4 linked regions of the Sus scrofa genome follow. The protein of the gene in region 1 purifies or fractionates together with the protein of each later gene. This does not show direct contact. Links are inferred from orthologs where the notes say so. Each region holds a gene or a part of one and is shown in the gene's direction. Other genes may lie near its edges.

Region 1 (4,144 bases):
ACCTGGCAAGAATCCCAACTTAGGGAGTTCCCTTTGTGGCTCAGCGGTTAATGAACCCAACTAGGATCCATGAGGATGCGGGTTTGATCCCTGGCCTCACTCAGTGGGTTAAGGATCCGGCGTTGCCATGAGCTGTGGTATCTAGGTTGCAGATGCAGCTCACACCCGCTGTGGTGTAGGCTGGCAGCTACAGCTCTGATTCGACCCCTAGCCTGGGAACTTCCATACGCCGCAGGTGCAGCCCTAAAAAAAAGCAAATAATAATAATAATGGAATCACAACGTCCAGCCATAACATGGCTCACAGGACGGCCGGCTCTGCTGACCGCGTCTTCCCACCTTGTGGGCACCAGCATGGGAAGCCGGGACTCAGGCTCTGAGTCCACCGGGAGGTGACTGGCTGGCCAGAGCCCACACGGCCAAGGGGCAGCGCTCACCGCTGTGGCTCCAAATGTCTGCTAAGACGCCCGAGCCTGTGCTGGGGCACCCAGAAACCAAGCCCCATCAGTAACCCCACTGCACGGAGGAGGAAGCTTAGGCCTGAAGAGGTCCAGCACCTTGCAGCGCTCACAGAACTAGCAGGTCGCGGAGCCGGAAGAGGACCCGGAAGCCCGACGCGGGAGTCTACACCCGGGAGGTGAAGAGCGCTCGCGCGTTGGGCAAGAGCCCTGGCACCGCGGTGGGCGTGGCCTAGCGGAGAGGGGCGGGGGGAGCCGCGAGGGCGGGGCCGGGCCGGGCCGGGGCGGAGCCGGCGGCCTCCATTGGGTGCTTCTTTGAGTTCGTCACAGGACTGCCAGGCCAGACTCCGCCCAGGCCCCGCCCCTCCGTGGGGGTTAACCCCGCCCCCTCCGGCCTGGGCCCTCCTGCCCTTTAGGCTGAGGCCCGCGGTCAAGGCGCGGGGCCCAGACGCCTCTGCCCCGGCGCGCGGGGGCCGCTCTGTTCCACACTCAGGCCAGAGGTCAGCCAGGGGCTTTTGAAGCCCTTGGAGCCACACTCGCGGGCATTGTCAGTTGCCTGTTCTTTTTCTTCCTAGCAGCTTTACTGAGGTGTAACTTGCAATTCCTCCATTTAAAGCGCACAGTTCTGCGGGGTTTACCCAGAGCTGTGCAGCCATCGCCACAACTTAATTTAGGGCGTTTACATCCTCAGTCCCTCTCATCCTCCTCAGGCTCCGACGGCGCTGCGCTGAGAGACCTGGCCGCCAGGGGGCGCCGCGACCCCGCCCTCAGCTGCGCCTGCGCCGACTCCGCGCGCGAACCCCAGAGCGAGCCCGCCGAGCGCGCGCCCGCCCCGCGAGTGCGCCTGCGCGGAGCCCGTGGCCGCGCCCGCTCCCGCCGGGGGCTCGTCGCTGGGCGGCCGGGCCATGGGGGAGGCCGAGGTGGGCGGCGGTGGCGCGGCGGGCGACAAGGGGCCCGGGGAGGCAGCCACCAGCCCGGCCGAGGAGACGGTCGTGTGGAGCCCCGAGGTGGAGGTGTGCCTCTTCCACGCCATGCTGGGCCACAAGCCCGTCGGTGAGCGGAGCGCCGCGCCGAGGCCGCGCACCCGCGTGGGGGCGGGGCGGCCGGCAACGGCCGGGGGCGCGCGCGGGGCGGGCGGGGCGGGGCCTCCTGCGCCTGCACCCCTGCACACCCTGCCCCCACCTGCTCGCCCCTCCCCGGCCTGCTCCTTGCAGTCCCCTCCCCCGCTCGACTTTGCCCCCTCCCGCCCCCACCCCCCCACGCCGGCCGACCCCTGCCTTCACCTGCACCCCTGCCCCCTTTGCTCCTCCCCCACTGACCCCTACCTCTTCCTCTCCCCCCTTGTACCTGCCACCAACCCCATTCTACCCCCGCGCCCTCCAAGCACTGCCCCCGTCTCCCCCTGCGCCTTCTCCCCTCTCTTCCCCTTGACCCCCACGTCTGTTCTCCAAACTACCTGTCTGCCCCCACGGGCTGACCCTTTCCCCCTGCAGGTGTGAACCGGCACTTCCACATGATCTGTATCCGGGACAAGTTCAGCCAGAACATCGGCCGGCAAGTGCCCTCCAAGGTCATCTGGGACCACCTGAGCACCATGTACGACATGCAGGCACTGGTGAGCTGGCCCCCACCCTCCCCCAGACAGGTGGTGGCCGAGAGCCCCCTCCGTGCGCCTCCCTGCGTCTACACCAGGCCCTGTCCTCAGGGAACTTGACGTCTGGGCTGCCCCGCAGGGGACCAGTTGTTCAACAAGGTAGCTCCGAGCAGTTTTACAGAAAACACAAACCTAGTGACGGTAGCTGGTTATCACATGGCACCTACTTGCAATTGAGGGGTCAGTTAGGACCTGGCCAGGAGACGACTGAGGAGCTGAGGCCTGTGGGAGGGGCTCTGAGGCCATTGTCAGTCTTACAGAAAGTCCCAGAGTGCTGTAGGCAGGGAGGTGGCAGGGTCTGAGTCAGGTTAAGGTGACACTGGTGACTGCTGGTAGAACCAGGCAGGCAGGGACCCGGGCCTCACGGAACCCCCCCTGAGCCATGTCGTTAGCGGGGCAGATGAACTAGGGGAACAGGGTGGCCAAAGAGACCAGTGGCGTTCCCAGCAGAGGAGCGGCAGGTGTCAAGGCTCTGTGGCAGCAGGCGTTGGTGCATCAGAGGACGCAGAGGAGGCCAGGGTGTCTGGAGAGTGGGTGGGAGCCGGGTGGCAGGTGCCCGGTGAGGTGGGAGCCTGTGCTGGGTTAGGGAAGGCTCCATCTCCCCTCACGCCCCCAGGCGAGAATTGGTGCGTGTGGGCAAAGGGGGCAGCAGACCCCCAGCCGTCTGGGTCCAGAAACCTCACTGCCATTCCCTCCCTTTGGCCTTGGGCGTGGCACTCACATCTCGTCCTGGTGTAGGGAGGAGAGAAAGGTGACCACTGTGTCCTGGGACCAGCGCCTGGCCTGCAGTAGGCATTCTAGAAACTCGAGAACTGGCCGCTAAACTACACCAGGCCCACCCAAAGGGCCATGCCTGCTGGTCAGGGCCTTGCCCTCCGTGAGTTCCCGGGTTCCACAGCTTGACTGGGCTCGCATACCTGTCACACTGTGAGGTCACCTGGCCCCCAGGCACGTCCTGAGCCCTGACTGCTGGCTGGACCCAGAGATCAGAGTGGCAGGGTCCCCGACCTGGGGGAGGCAGATGGTTCTTAGGCACGCTGCTGGCCCAGAGGATCCCATGGCTGTGACCCCAGCACAGGGCCCACGTGACACTCAGGGAACTGCAGCGGGGGCACCCAGGGCTTTCAGCCCGGGACAGTGGCCCTTCTCTCTTTTCCTCGCACCCTAGCATGGCTGTGGGGCTGACGTCACGGTCACCTGGGGCCTTGAACCCCACCCGCAAGGTGCCGTGGGCGCAGGAACCCTCGGGTTTTGAAGCTCCTCGATGCCGATCAGCACGTTTACACGCTGACCGCCTGGTGATGAGCACGGCTCCCGAGTGTCTCCTGATCGCCCCCAACCCTGAGTCCCTCCTGCCAGCTAAGCTCTCCCTTCGTCCCATGGGCTGCGTCTCCACCGTCTCTGTCCGGTCCGGCAGGTGCGAGCTGCCAGCCAGGTGGAACACGCTGAGCATCGGCGGTGCCTGCTCCCCTGCACTCACCTGCTTCCCACCCCGGTGGCCCGCCCACATGGGTGAGACGGGAGCCCCATGGCCTTTCTGCAGGGTTGTCACGGCCCTCGGATCGCGTGCTCCCGGAGCCTGCACAGCCGGGCCAGGCCTGCGGGACAGCTGCAGCCTGATTCTGGCCCTGCAGGTGTGCCAGCAGACTGGGCACCCTGGCCCCATCTCAGGTGACAGTCAACCCAGAGTCTTCCCTCTCGTGACTGATGCTGGTGGCTCATGCTGTGGTTTTGCCTTGTCTGGCTCCGTGTGACAAGCCCAGCCCCTCGTAAACCGTAGAAGAGAAAGAAACGGCCTCGGCCCCCTCCACCTGCCCACTGCAGCCTCGAGACCGTTACCTGTGTTTGTTGTTTGCTCCTGAATTTAAAAGTCACGTTTAAGAGCTCCCTGGTAGCTCAGTGGGTTGGGGATCGGGTGTTGTCACTGCAGCGGCTCGGGTTGCTGCTTTGGCTCGGGTTTGATCCCTGGCTCAGGAGCTTGTGTGCGCCACAGATACAGCCATAGAAATCACATTTTCTTCTTTGTTTCTTTA
Region 2 (3,571 bases), on another chromosome or scaffold:
ATTATTGTTTCCTGTTTACAAGAAATTTTTTGCTTAGAACCATGCTTTAGATTTTGCCTTTAGTGCTGAAGGGGAAAAAAGATTGACTTCCATTGGATGAGATAAAAGGATGACATGGTAACACAGCATTTTTTAATATTCATCATGCAGTACCTTAATGGGACGTAGTTTAGGTGGTGATTAATTTTAAAGAAGCTATATATGAAAGAAAAAAGTAAAACATTGAATCTTTCTCAGGTTTTATTTTTTTGTTTTATAATCCTCCAATGTGAAGCTTGGCTTTGTCTGTGTTCTTTGTAATATAATAGTGCATTATTAAGTCAAGGATGGAAAGCTTGCTTAAGTGCGGTCTGTCTGAACACACACATATATATATAGGATAAGAGGTGGTAGTGCTCTATTTTTAAACAGTTCCATGCCTATTATGAAGTTAATATTCTGTGGCTGTTTGATTGAATGAATATTTTAAATTAGTGATTAACTTAATTTTCTTTTATATGCAAATAGATGCTACTAATTACAACTGAGCCTTCTCTAGCTAATAACTAGGACTTTTCACCTGTGAGTTAGTTCAGGTTATCTCTTATATGTCAAAGAACTTACAGTGAAATTCAGATTTTTCACTAGATCTCTTTTCTGTTCTGTGGTAAGGTGTCACTGCATTGAAGCATGATAATCCTATTCCTTGAGATCCTTTATATCCTACATTCAGTTTTATATCTATTCTACATGAAGTGATGGATAGAGGTTCATTTTGGCTATTTTTCGATAACCTTGATTTGACGGAACTGTTTTGCTTTGTCTTTGGAAAATAACACAATATGAAAAGATTACATTTTCTGATACAGTAGGTTTTGTTTCAGACAGACTTTGAAAAATTTGTTTACATTGGAATTATCCTTTCTATGTCATTCTGTCTTTTCAACAGCTGGCAATATTTTTTTCTGAAGATTTATTGAGATGTTTGATTATACTTTTATTTTCAGAGTTAAATAGGTTCTCTTAATGTAGTTGCTGTTTAGATTTTTTTTTTTAACATTTTGCTTTTATAGAATGAATTTGGGTCTTTCAGTTTTGTTGCATGAAGCTGAAGGGTGGACAGTTGAATTGTTTATTCTTCTAAACTTGTTGTTTTCAATAGAATCGTAAGAATGATGAAGCCTCTTATGAAAAGATGTTGAAACTGAGACGGGAGTTTAGTAGAGCCATAACAATTTTGGAGATGATTAAAAGAAGAGAGAAAACAAAACGAGAATTATTGCACTTAACCTTAGAAGTTGTGGAAAAAAGGTAAACATTGCTGCTATTACATACCAGTAATAGCTTTAGTAAAAATGATGGGCAAAATATAAATCAAATATTTTTGGTTATCAATTTGGGTTGCAAATTTGAGGAATGTATTAGATCTTCTTTTACACTTAATTTTTTGTTCTTGTTGAGAAACCATTGAATTGTATTTAGAAAAGGACTTAGGGATCATTTAGTCCAATCCTCTGTATTAGATTTCTATTAAATAGCATTTGAGGGAAATGAACGTTTAATTGATTTTATTTTCTGATTAGTTAGAAAATATTTGTTTCAGTGCATTTTGATGCATTGAATTCAATGAATTCTCTGATGTAATGATCCTTTTCCTACGTAATTAAATAGACTGTGCTAAACCTAACAAAATTTTGTGTTTCCTAAGGTAAGCCTTCCAAACATCATTCCCCAGTGCTTGAAAATGTAAAATATATGAGAAATCCATCTTCTGTGTACTGTAGAGATTGATGGGGAGGGGTGTGTGGCTTGTTTTATATTTATAAATCCCAAAATATGAGCTTCTTTATTCCTATTAGTTTTCTTTCTGAAGAATAATTTGATTAATGTTGGCTCTATTGGATTAGTTGTGTCATTGAGGAGTTCTTTGGTGGCTCAGCAGGTTAAGGGAACTTTCATATGCTTCGGGTGTGGCCAAAAAAATTTTTCCTTAAGTATAAAATGAAAATGAATAAATAAATAAATATTGGCTTTTCTTTCTCTTTCATTTTCGAAATGTAACGTTTTCTTACATATTATTTCCTTTTCAAGATATCATTTGGGAGACTATGGTGGTGAAATCCTTAATGAAGTGAAGATCAGTAGATCAGAAAAAGAGTTATATGCCACTCCAGCTACTCTTCATAATGGAAATCATCACAAAGTCCAAGAATGTAAAACTAAGGTAAATATTTTCTGAGGGGAAGCATGTATGATAATTTGATCAGGCAGTTGGTTTCTGCAGTTGGCTTATAATAGTTTGGTTAAAGAAGAAATTATTAACATGTATTGAGTTTTTACTTTTTGTCTGGCACTTTGCTAGGATTTGTTATATAACTTGTTGATTTATGAATCCTTATAACAATCCTTTGAGATAGATTTTACCTCTTCATGACTTCCAGATCATATAGCATAAGTGGTAGATTCAAGGTTTGAGTCCAGGTCTAACACCAAAAACCATATGCATTCAGCTGTGCTATCTGCTTCCCTAGAGAATAAGGGTAATTAAAGCTTAGTTACTGTTACTAGTCTTAGCAAGTCCTGCATCATAATGGCAGGTATCAAAATCTAAAATTAAAGCTTTTTTCATTGAGACTGTTGAAAGTTATTTTTATTGTCATCACCATTGCCAGAACCAGCATTTGTCAGTTGCTGTCTATCCTGAGAAAGTCCTATGACGTCTAGATCATGATTTCTTCCTTATAATAAAGAGTCAAATTAGTGATTACTTTAGGTTTTTTTTTTGACTAAAGAATTATATCTATTCATTATTCACTTGGTATATTAAGGTATTCAATTGAAATATACAAAAAGTAATAAAACTTTTAAGAAGCTTTGACTTTAAAAAAAGAAACAGGTATTGACTGAGCATTTAGACAGAGCTCTACTGTGTAGCAAGGTTTAAAAAGTGACTTAGGGTGTTTGTGGAAAATTCATCTTTTAAAAATGTGTACAATCCTCATTTTTCATGGTTCATTCCTAAAGGTCAAGGAAGAATGTGGAGCAGGAAGACTCCTCCATTATTCAACTCATGTCAATTCAAACACCAAAGTTCTTTCTTATTAATCACAGGCATCTAGCCCACCTATCCAGTTCCCTTTAAATCACCCTTGTCTCTGTAGCCATAAACAACACAATAAGTGTCATTTATTTTTTAAAATTCTTTTTTTTTTTTGTCTTTTTACTTTTTCTAGGGCTGCTCCCATGGCTTATGGAGGTTCCCAGGCTAGGGGTCGAATCAGAGCTGTAGCCACCGACCTATGCCAGAGCCACAACAATGTGGTATCCAAGCTGCATCTGCGACCTACACCACAGCTCACAGCAACACCGGATCCTTAACCCACTGAGCAAGGCCAGGGATCCAACCCGCCACCTCATGGTTCCTAGTCGGATACATTAACCACTGCCGCCACGACAGGAACTCCCTAAAAATCCTTTTTATATAAATGCTCTTCCTAGGTATATTGTTGGTAGGCACAGAATATGAAAATCTCAACCCCAGACTACTGACAGAATCAATCTTTATTATATATTGATTTTATTTTGGATCATA
Region 3 (3,571 bases), on another chromosome or scaffold:
ACCTCCCCTTCTATTTTCCCTGTTGGTTTCTGTGAAATTAACATGATTGAACTTACTCCACCCAGAGGTACTTCTTCCTAATATATACACTGAGTTTTCATCCTTGCTTTTTACATGGTACCTGTTAACATTTACCACAGCTCTAGATTTCCTGCTGTATGAAAATAAGAGTATATGTGTATATATATATATAAACACACACAAGATCTGTTGGGTGCTCTGAAAACATAACGAACTGTATCCTAACTAGCTTTAATAATTGGTATAATTGGTATAGAATCTTTTTCTGAGCATCTATACATTTTATAATATGAAATAATATTCTCAAGCCCTGTTGAGATGGTGATTTAGGCTCCAAAGTCTGTTGTACACATAAACTTTTTTTAAAAAATACATACTTTAGGGAGTTCCCGTCGTGGCGCAGTGGTTAACGAATCCGACTAGGAACCATGAGGTCGCGGGTTCGGTCCCTGCCCTTGCTCAGTGGGTTAACGATCCGGCGTTGCCGTGAGCTGTGGTGTAGGTTGCAGACGCGGCTCGGATCCCGAGTTGCTGTGGCTCTGGCGTAGGCCGGTGGCTACAGCTCCGATTCAACCCCTAGCCTGGGAATCTCCATATGCCTCGGAAGCGGCCCAAGAGATAGCAACAACAACAAAAGACAAAAGACAAAAAAAAAAAAAGTACATACTTTAGGAGTCCCTGTTGTGGCGCAGCGAAAACAAATCCAACTAGGAACCATGAGGTTGCAGGTTCTATCCCTGGCCTCGATCGGTGAGTTAAGGATCTGGCATTGCCATGAGCTGTTGTGTAGGTCGCAGTTGTGGCTTGGATCTGGCGTTGCTGTGGCTCTGGCATAGACTGGTGGCTACAGCTCTGATTAGACCCCTAGCCTGCGAACCTCTATATGCTGTGGGTGCGGCCCCTAAAAAAAAAATAGATACTTTAGGCTGTTCCGTTGTGGCACAGTAGAAACAAGTCTTACTAGGAACCATGACGTTTCAGGTTCAATCCCTGGCCTCACTTAGTGGATTAAGGATCTGGTGTTGCTGTGAGCTGTGGTGTGGGTCGCAGGCGTGGCTCAGATCCCAAGTTGCTGTGGCTGTGGTGTAGACCAGCAGCTGTAGCTCTGATTAAACCCCTAGCCTGGGAAGCTCCATATGCTGTGGGTGTGGCCCTTAAAAAAAAAAAAAAAAACTTTAGCTTTTGAGGAAAAGCAAGTTTTCATCTTTGGATTACCATGTGACTTTTTAAAAGCAGGTATATGCTTAAATAGCTCTTATGGTTTAACCAATGACTTTCCTAATTTCAGTATCTGAGCCTTAGGTTTTTTTCTCTTTAAGAAATGGAGAAAAGCCAAAAGAGTGGACTATTAAAAAAAGAAAAAGTATTTGCCCAGCCTGTTTTCTTTCTTACAAAGAAAGAAAAATATTACTGAAAAGTGTTAAATGTTAGGCTCTTCTAATCCTAGGATTGAAAAAGCAGAAGTCTGTAGTTCTTACAGAGTGAGGAGGGGAGAGTCACTTTGGCATTAGAATAAGTGGGTACTTGTTTCTGTCTAGAAAAGAGGAAAATCCATATAACAAGGAGGAACTATCAAACTCTACAGCATCAGAGCACGATTCATATAACAGAGAGCTTGTCATATAACAAAATCTGTGATTGTAGTGTATACTAAATTACTTTACATCTGCATTTTAATATATGCTCATTTTAAAAGAACTGCTAGTTAAACTAGTTGTGTTTTTCAGGTTACACAAAACTTCCTTTTAAATGGTTTGACTACCTCAGGGAAACTGGCTCCATTGCAGCACCAGTAAAACTGTTTAATAAGGTAAATTTTAAATGATGCCTCACAAATGCAAATCAGTGTTGGTCAGAATGTCTTTGCCTTATGCTAGAATTCCTAAGATTAATATGAACATATAATAGTAAAACAATGCTAAGTATTTTCTTTACATAGGACTTTAAGGTTGTTTCCAGATTTTGTTTTATTTTTAATCTGAATAAAATAGGAATGAATACATTTCCTAAGTAGTGCTTAATATGCTTCAGCCTCATATGTTTCAATAATTAAAGAATTATTTCAGATTTTTTGGTCTAAATTGTCAATTGGTTGTGTTCTTTTTTTTTCTTCCTTAGTAATGGCGGATTATACATTCTTCTTTTCACCAGTGTTAATGTTTTGCTTCTCCACGTTAGGATGTTCCCAATCACGGATTTCGTGTAGGAATGAAATTAGAAGCAGTAGATCTCATGGAGCCACGATTAATATGTGTAGCCACAGTAACTCGAATTATTCATCGTCTCTTGAGGATACATTTTGATGGATGGGAAGAAGAATATGATCAGTGGGTAGACTGTGAGTCCCCTGACCTCTATCCTGTAGGGTGGTGTCAATTAACTGGATATCAGCTACAGCCTCCAGCATCACAGTGTAAGTTGGTATACAGAAAAGGTGTCCTTTTGTAAAAATCAGCAGTTCTCGGAGGACTATCTCACATAAATCATCTTGTGAGCTCACAGGACAAGAATATACCTAAGTCTGATTGGTTGCCAGGTAAGATCTTAAGACTCAACGACAATATCACAGAATCAGACCATGTGTTCCATGGCAGTGTGAACTCAGTAGTCAGTTACATAATGACTATAGAAACACAACATCAAGAGCACTCACCAAATTAAACTGTACTTATTTTAATGAGTTTAAAATTACAGGCTAATAAATTTTATGTTATTGGTGTATTTGAAGGACTTATTGAATAAGTAGTGGAATCTCTCTGGTATTGAAGTTCATGGTTTTGCAGGAAAAAGTACCCTTATTTTTAAAACATTGTATACTTTTATAAGCGTAATGTTCTTGGTGAACTAAGTTGTATCTAGATTTGTAAGGAGTTGTCTGGTACCAATTTTCCCTTTTATTTTTCAGCATCAAGAGAAAGCCAATCAGGTTCATCAAAGCAGAAGAAAAAGGCTAAGTCCCAGCAATACAAAGGACATAAGAAAAGTGGGTCACCATGTGGTGTTTATATACACTTTGTAACTTGTTAACCAGTTGGGGTCTTAAATATTCTTGCACAGAAACGATACCCTTTTTGAGAGCAGATAACTGTGCATTCTGTATTATGCTTAAAGGTGCAGTATGCTATAAAAGGCAAACCTTTTCAGTAATGAGAAACACTTACCTTTGATAGGGGAAATTATTACCATAATATTTAATATGTGGTAAAGAATAGAGTCTGTGGACAATTCTTGAAGTAACATGTAAACCTTCTGAAAATTAATCTTTTTTAAATCTTTAAGAGTTTTACAACTTTAAAAGCAGATGCTTACAATAGACTTGGAGATTAATAAACCCATCCTTATAAATGAAAACTCTTTCTAGAATGATGCTTTTGAGAAATTCAAGGTGATAGCTAACAAAATCAGACCTAAGAAAAGTTTTCTCAGAATGCTCCTGTGCGGCAGGTTCAGCCCCTGGCCCAGGAACTTCTACATGCCATCGGTGTGGCCAAAAAAAATTTTTCTTGGGACTTCCCATGATGACTCAGTGGGTTAAGAACCCAACTAGTAT
Region 4 (3,560 bases), on another chromosome or scaffold:
CCTGAGTCCTTCTCTCAGGTGGTCTGACGGGGGCGCCCCTGTACCCCCTCTGCCTCTGTTCTTCCTCTCTGGGGCCCCTCCGACTCCCCGGCCCTCATGTCGCGTAGCCACTCCAGTCTGGGTCTCTCTTCCCTCTGTGCCCGGCCTCCCATCTCTCTGGGTCATCGTCCCGCCTCCGGCCCTGGATCCCTGTCTCCTCTCTGACACCCCCCACAACCGGCAGGTGACACGGGGGAGATCAAGTCAGAAGTCCGAGAGCAGATCAACGCCAAGGTGGCTGAGTGGCGGGAGGAGGGCAAGGCGGAGATCATCCCTGGCGTGAGTACCTGGCCGAGGCCACGGCAGGCGGCCCGCGGGGGTTCGCAGGAGAAGAGGGGGCGCGGGAGGTGGATTTCATGTCCCCCCCCCGATGGCCCCCAGGTGCTGTTTATCGACGAGGTCCACATGCTGGACATCGAGAGCTTCTCCTTCCTCAACCGGGCCCTGGAGAGTGACATGGCACCTGTCCTCATCATGGCCACCAACCGCGGCATCACCCGGTGAGAACGGGCGTGCTGGGTGGCAGGAAGGCCACAGGGTTAAACAGGCCAGGGCTGCGGAGCACCTCGTTGGGGAGCTGCGCTGCTGTAGTGGGCTGCCCTCGGGCGCTGGGGCCCGGGCGGCTGGCGTACTTTCCCTCAAACAAAAGCAGGCGAGCGCTCGGGGCTGGTGGGTGCCCAGCTGCACAGGCGCTCTGGGACCCAGCATGCTCTGTCTTTTCTTGTTCCCAGAGGCCTCAAGGTTACAGATTCCAAACTGTGTGCCCAGGCAGGCACGCGGGGTGCTGCAGAGAACACAGGAGTGCTGTGGGTGTTTTCAAATGTTTGAGGGACACCTCGTGACATGAGTCGGGTGCTCTGTAAACCACTCCAATTAAGTCACTTAGATCCAACTACTTAGGAATAAACAGAACAAAACTTATTCCCCTTGGCCCAAGGATGCTAAGGAAAAATTCCTGACAGAGTTCCCCTTGTGGCTCAACAAGTTAAGAACCCAACTACTATCCATGAGGATGTGGGTTTGATCCCTGGCCTCACTCAGTGGGTTCAGGCCATTAGCTGCAGTGTAGGTCGCAGATGGGGCTCTGAGCTGAGCCCGTGTTGCTATGGAATCTGCTAGAGTTCCTGCTGTGGTGCAGTGGGTTCAGGATCCAGTGTTGTCTCTGCAGCAGCGTGGCTTTGATCCTCAGTCTGGTGCAGTGGGTTAAGGATCCAGAGTTGCTGCAGCTGCAGCTCAAGTTCAGTCCCTGGCCGGGGAACTTCCATATGATTCGGGTGTAGCCAAAAAAAAAAAAAAAAGGAATCTGCTGTTTCCTGGCACCTGCCATGTGCAGCAGGGGACAGGACTGTGCCAGTGGAGCTCTGTGTCAAGCAGAGAAGCGGGACCTTGAGCCGCTAATCCCAGACATAGATCTCTAGCTAAATCCAGCCCAGCTCTAGAGGGGGAGGGATGCAGTCAGGGGCCGGCTGTGCTGTCAGGCGGTGACGCCAGCCGGCCGGGAGCTGAAGGCCAAGCGAGTGGTATTTGACCCAGTGAGTGGGCCATGGCGGAAGGGGTGGGGAGGGCTGTCCGGGTAAGGGGAATGGGGAGCCGGGCTGTTAAGAGCACCACCCTGACCGCCCTCCCTTCCCCCTCCTGCCCAGGATCCGGGGCACCAGCTACCAGAGCCCCCATGGCATCCCCATCGATCTGCTGGACCGACTGCTCATCGTCTCCACCTCCCCCTACAGCGAGAAAGACACAAAGCAGATCCTCCGCATCCGGTGCGGGTGGGGCTGGTGTCCACCCTCTTTGGCCCATGGGGACCCCGAGGTCTGAAGGGGAGGTGGCTGGGCCCGCCAGAAGTCCTGCTGGGCTGGGCATCGAAGCAGTGGCCTCTGAGGAGGTTGTGAGGGTTGGAGAAAGGCGGGGGGGTGTTGGTGACACAGCTGGGGGAGGTGAGGGGGAGCCCAGGAGTGGGAGGGTCCGGAGGCCCACCCCAGGTTTAGGCTCAGCCGGTGCCTCAGCGGCCCTTGGCACTCAGCATCCTGTGCCTCTGAGAGTGAGACTCCACGTGGCCCCAGGAGGTGCAGCAGCGCCCCTTGGGGGAGGGCTCTGCGGCAGAGTCTGCACCCTGGCTGACCGCCGCCCCCGCCATAGGTGCGAGGAGGAGGATGTGGAGATGAGCGAAGACGCCTACACGGTGCTGACCCGCATCGGGCTGGAGACCTCCCTGCGCTACGCCATCCAGCTCATTACAGCCGCCAGCCTGGTGTGCCGCAAGCGCAAGGTCAGCGGCTGAGGGCGCCCTGGGGGCTTGGAGCAGTGAGTGGAGGGCCCGCTGGTCCCAGGGCTTTCCCTGGGCCACAGCCTTTCGTCCTAGGACTTGGGTTTCAGAGGCAGGGAGCTTCCGGTCTCTGCGCTTGGTTGCTGTGTCTCCTGGCCGGACGCCCGGGAGGCGCCGGGAGGCGCCGACTGAATAGCTATTGGCTGCACTCCGATGCCGTGAAGTCCCTTTTACAGATGAGCACACCAGGGGTGGAGAGGTGGGGGCCGTGGCCGGGCGGTGGCCCTGCTGGGATTTGACCCCAGGCGACCTGGCCCCAGAGTCGTTGCTCCCGCCCCGGGGGGGCCCCCCCTCTGAGGTCTGGCACCCCCATCAGGGCACGGAGGTCCAGGTGGACGACATCAAGCGGGTCTACTCGCTCTTTCTGGACGAGTCACGATCCACGCAGTACATGAAGGAGTACCAGGATGCCTTCCTCTTCAACGAGCTCAGTGAGTATCGGCCCCGCCGCCCACCGCCGCCCGCCCGCCGGCCCGCAGAGGGAGGGGAGCCCGGCCTGGAGAGCTCGGGCCCTGCCCTCTGGGCCACACCGACCACCTGGCCTTCCTTCTCCCCACAGAAGGCGAGACCATGGACACCTCCTGAGCCCACGTCACCCTCTCCCCCACCTCCCCTGTTTTCTACCAGAGTTCTGACACCGTGACTTTGTATAAAATGGTTCCGAAACTGGGCCCACTGTGTGGGTGTGGGTGTAGGTGTGTACATACGCACGTGCTCACACGCCCCAGCCCCCAGAATAGACAACCCCAGAGTGCAGGTGGAGCAGCCTTTATTGGTGGGGGGGAGCATCTGTGGGCCTGGGAGGCTGAGGCCGGGAGTCCTTAGAGGAAGAGGAGGCCTGGGAGTAGGGGGCGGTCACAGGCCAAGGGTTGGGCTCTGGGACCCCCACAGTCAGAGCTGCTGAGGCGGCAGGGCCCGCAGTGACAGCTGAGAGCCACGGGGAAGGAGACCGTTGGGTCCACGCCAGGCGGGCAGCCAGGGAGGCGGATGGAGGCAAAGCTCAGCTCTCGGTAGGTGCACACCGGCTGGGGCACGGGTGGCAGGGCAGCCGGCAGCACCCGCACCTGTAGGGGGTGGGGGCGGGGCTTGGGTGTCTACCTGGGGCCCAGCCCTCCCCCAAGGTCCCCCCTCAGTACCCCACAGACCCCAGACTCAGGTGTCCAGGGGACCCTCTGTGTTCTCCCACCCACAGGCC

The links.
Region 2: the proteins of MRGBP (region 1) and EPC2 purify together in Homo sapiens (co-immunoprecipitation; 4 studies listed by BioGRID and IntAct, counting the BioPlex papers as one, with this or other methods). This does not show direct contact. The link is inferred for Sus scrofa from reciprocal best matches to the Homo sapiens genes MRGBP and EPC2.
Region 3: the proteins of MRGBP (region 1) and MBTD1 purify together in Homo sapiens (affinity purification with mass spectrometry; 4 studies listed by BioGRID and IntAct, counting the BioPlex papers as one, with this or other methods). This does not show direct contact. The link is inferred for Sus scrofa from reciprocal best matches to the Homo sapiens genes MRGBP and MBTD1.
Region 4: the proteins of MRGBP (region 1) and RUVBL2 purify together in Homo sapiens (co-immunoprecipitation; 5 studies listed by BioGRID and IntAct, counting the BioPlex papers as one, with this or other methods). This does not show direct contact. The link is inferred for Sus scrofa from reciprocal best matches to the Homo sapiens genes MRGBP and RUVBL2.

The regions. Positions count from the first base shown.
Region 1 is NC_010459.5:62,057,104-62,061,247, forward strand, and holds the start of MRGBP (MRG/MORF4L-binding protein), read left to right. Parts: upstream 1-1,297; 5' UTR 1,298-1,362; coding exon 1,363-1,510; intron 1,511-1,950; coding exon 1,951-2,072; intron 2,073-4,144.
Region 2 is NC_010457.5:3,442,700-3,446,270, reverse strand, and holds part of EPC2 (enhancer of polycomb homolog 2), read left to right. Parts: intron 1-1,141; coding exon 1,142-1,290; intron 1,291-2,070; coding exon 2,071-2,203; intron 2,204-3,571. UniProt on the Homo sapiens protein: May play a role in transcription or DNA repair.
Region 3 is NC_010454.4:27,463,777-27,467,347, reverse strand, and holds part of MBTD1 (MBT domain-containing protein 1), read left to right. Parts: coding exon 1-67; intron 68-1,748; coding exon 1,749-1,831; intron 1,832-2,199; coding exon 2,200-2,434; exon of another isoform or gene 2,435-2,926; coding exon 2,927-3,004; intron 3,005-3,571. UniProt on the Homo sapiens protein: Chromatin reader component of the NuA4 histone acetyltransferase complex, a multiprotein complex involved in transcriptional activation of select genes principally by acetylation of nucleosomal histones H4 and H2A.
Region 4 is NC_010448.4:54,260,457-54,264,016, forward strand, and holds the end of RUVBL2 (ruvB-like 2), read left to right. Parts: intron 1-223; coding exon 224-318; intron 319-420; coding exon 421-539; intron 540-1,682; coding exon 1,683-1,802; intron 1,803-2,178; coding exon 2,179-2,308; intron 2,309-2,681; coding exon 2,682-2,796; intron 2,797-2,924; coding exon 2,925-2,950; 3' UTR 2,951-3,036; downstream 3,037-3,560. UniProt on the Homo sapiens protein: Possesses single-stranded DNA-stimulated ATPase and ATP-dependent DNA helicase (5' to 3') activity; hexamerization is thought to be critical for ATP hydrolysis and adjacent subunits in the ring-like structure contribute to the ATPase activity.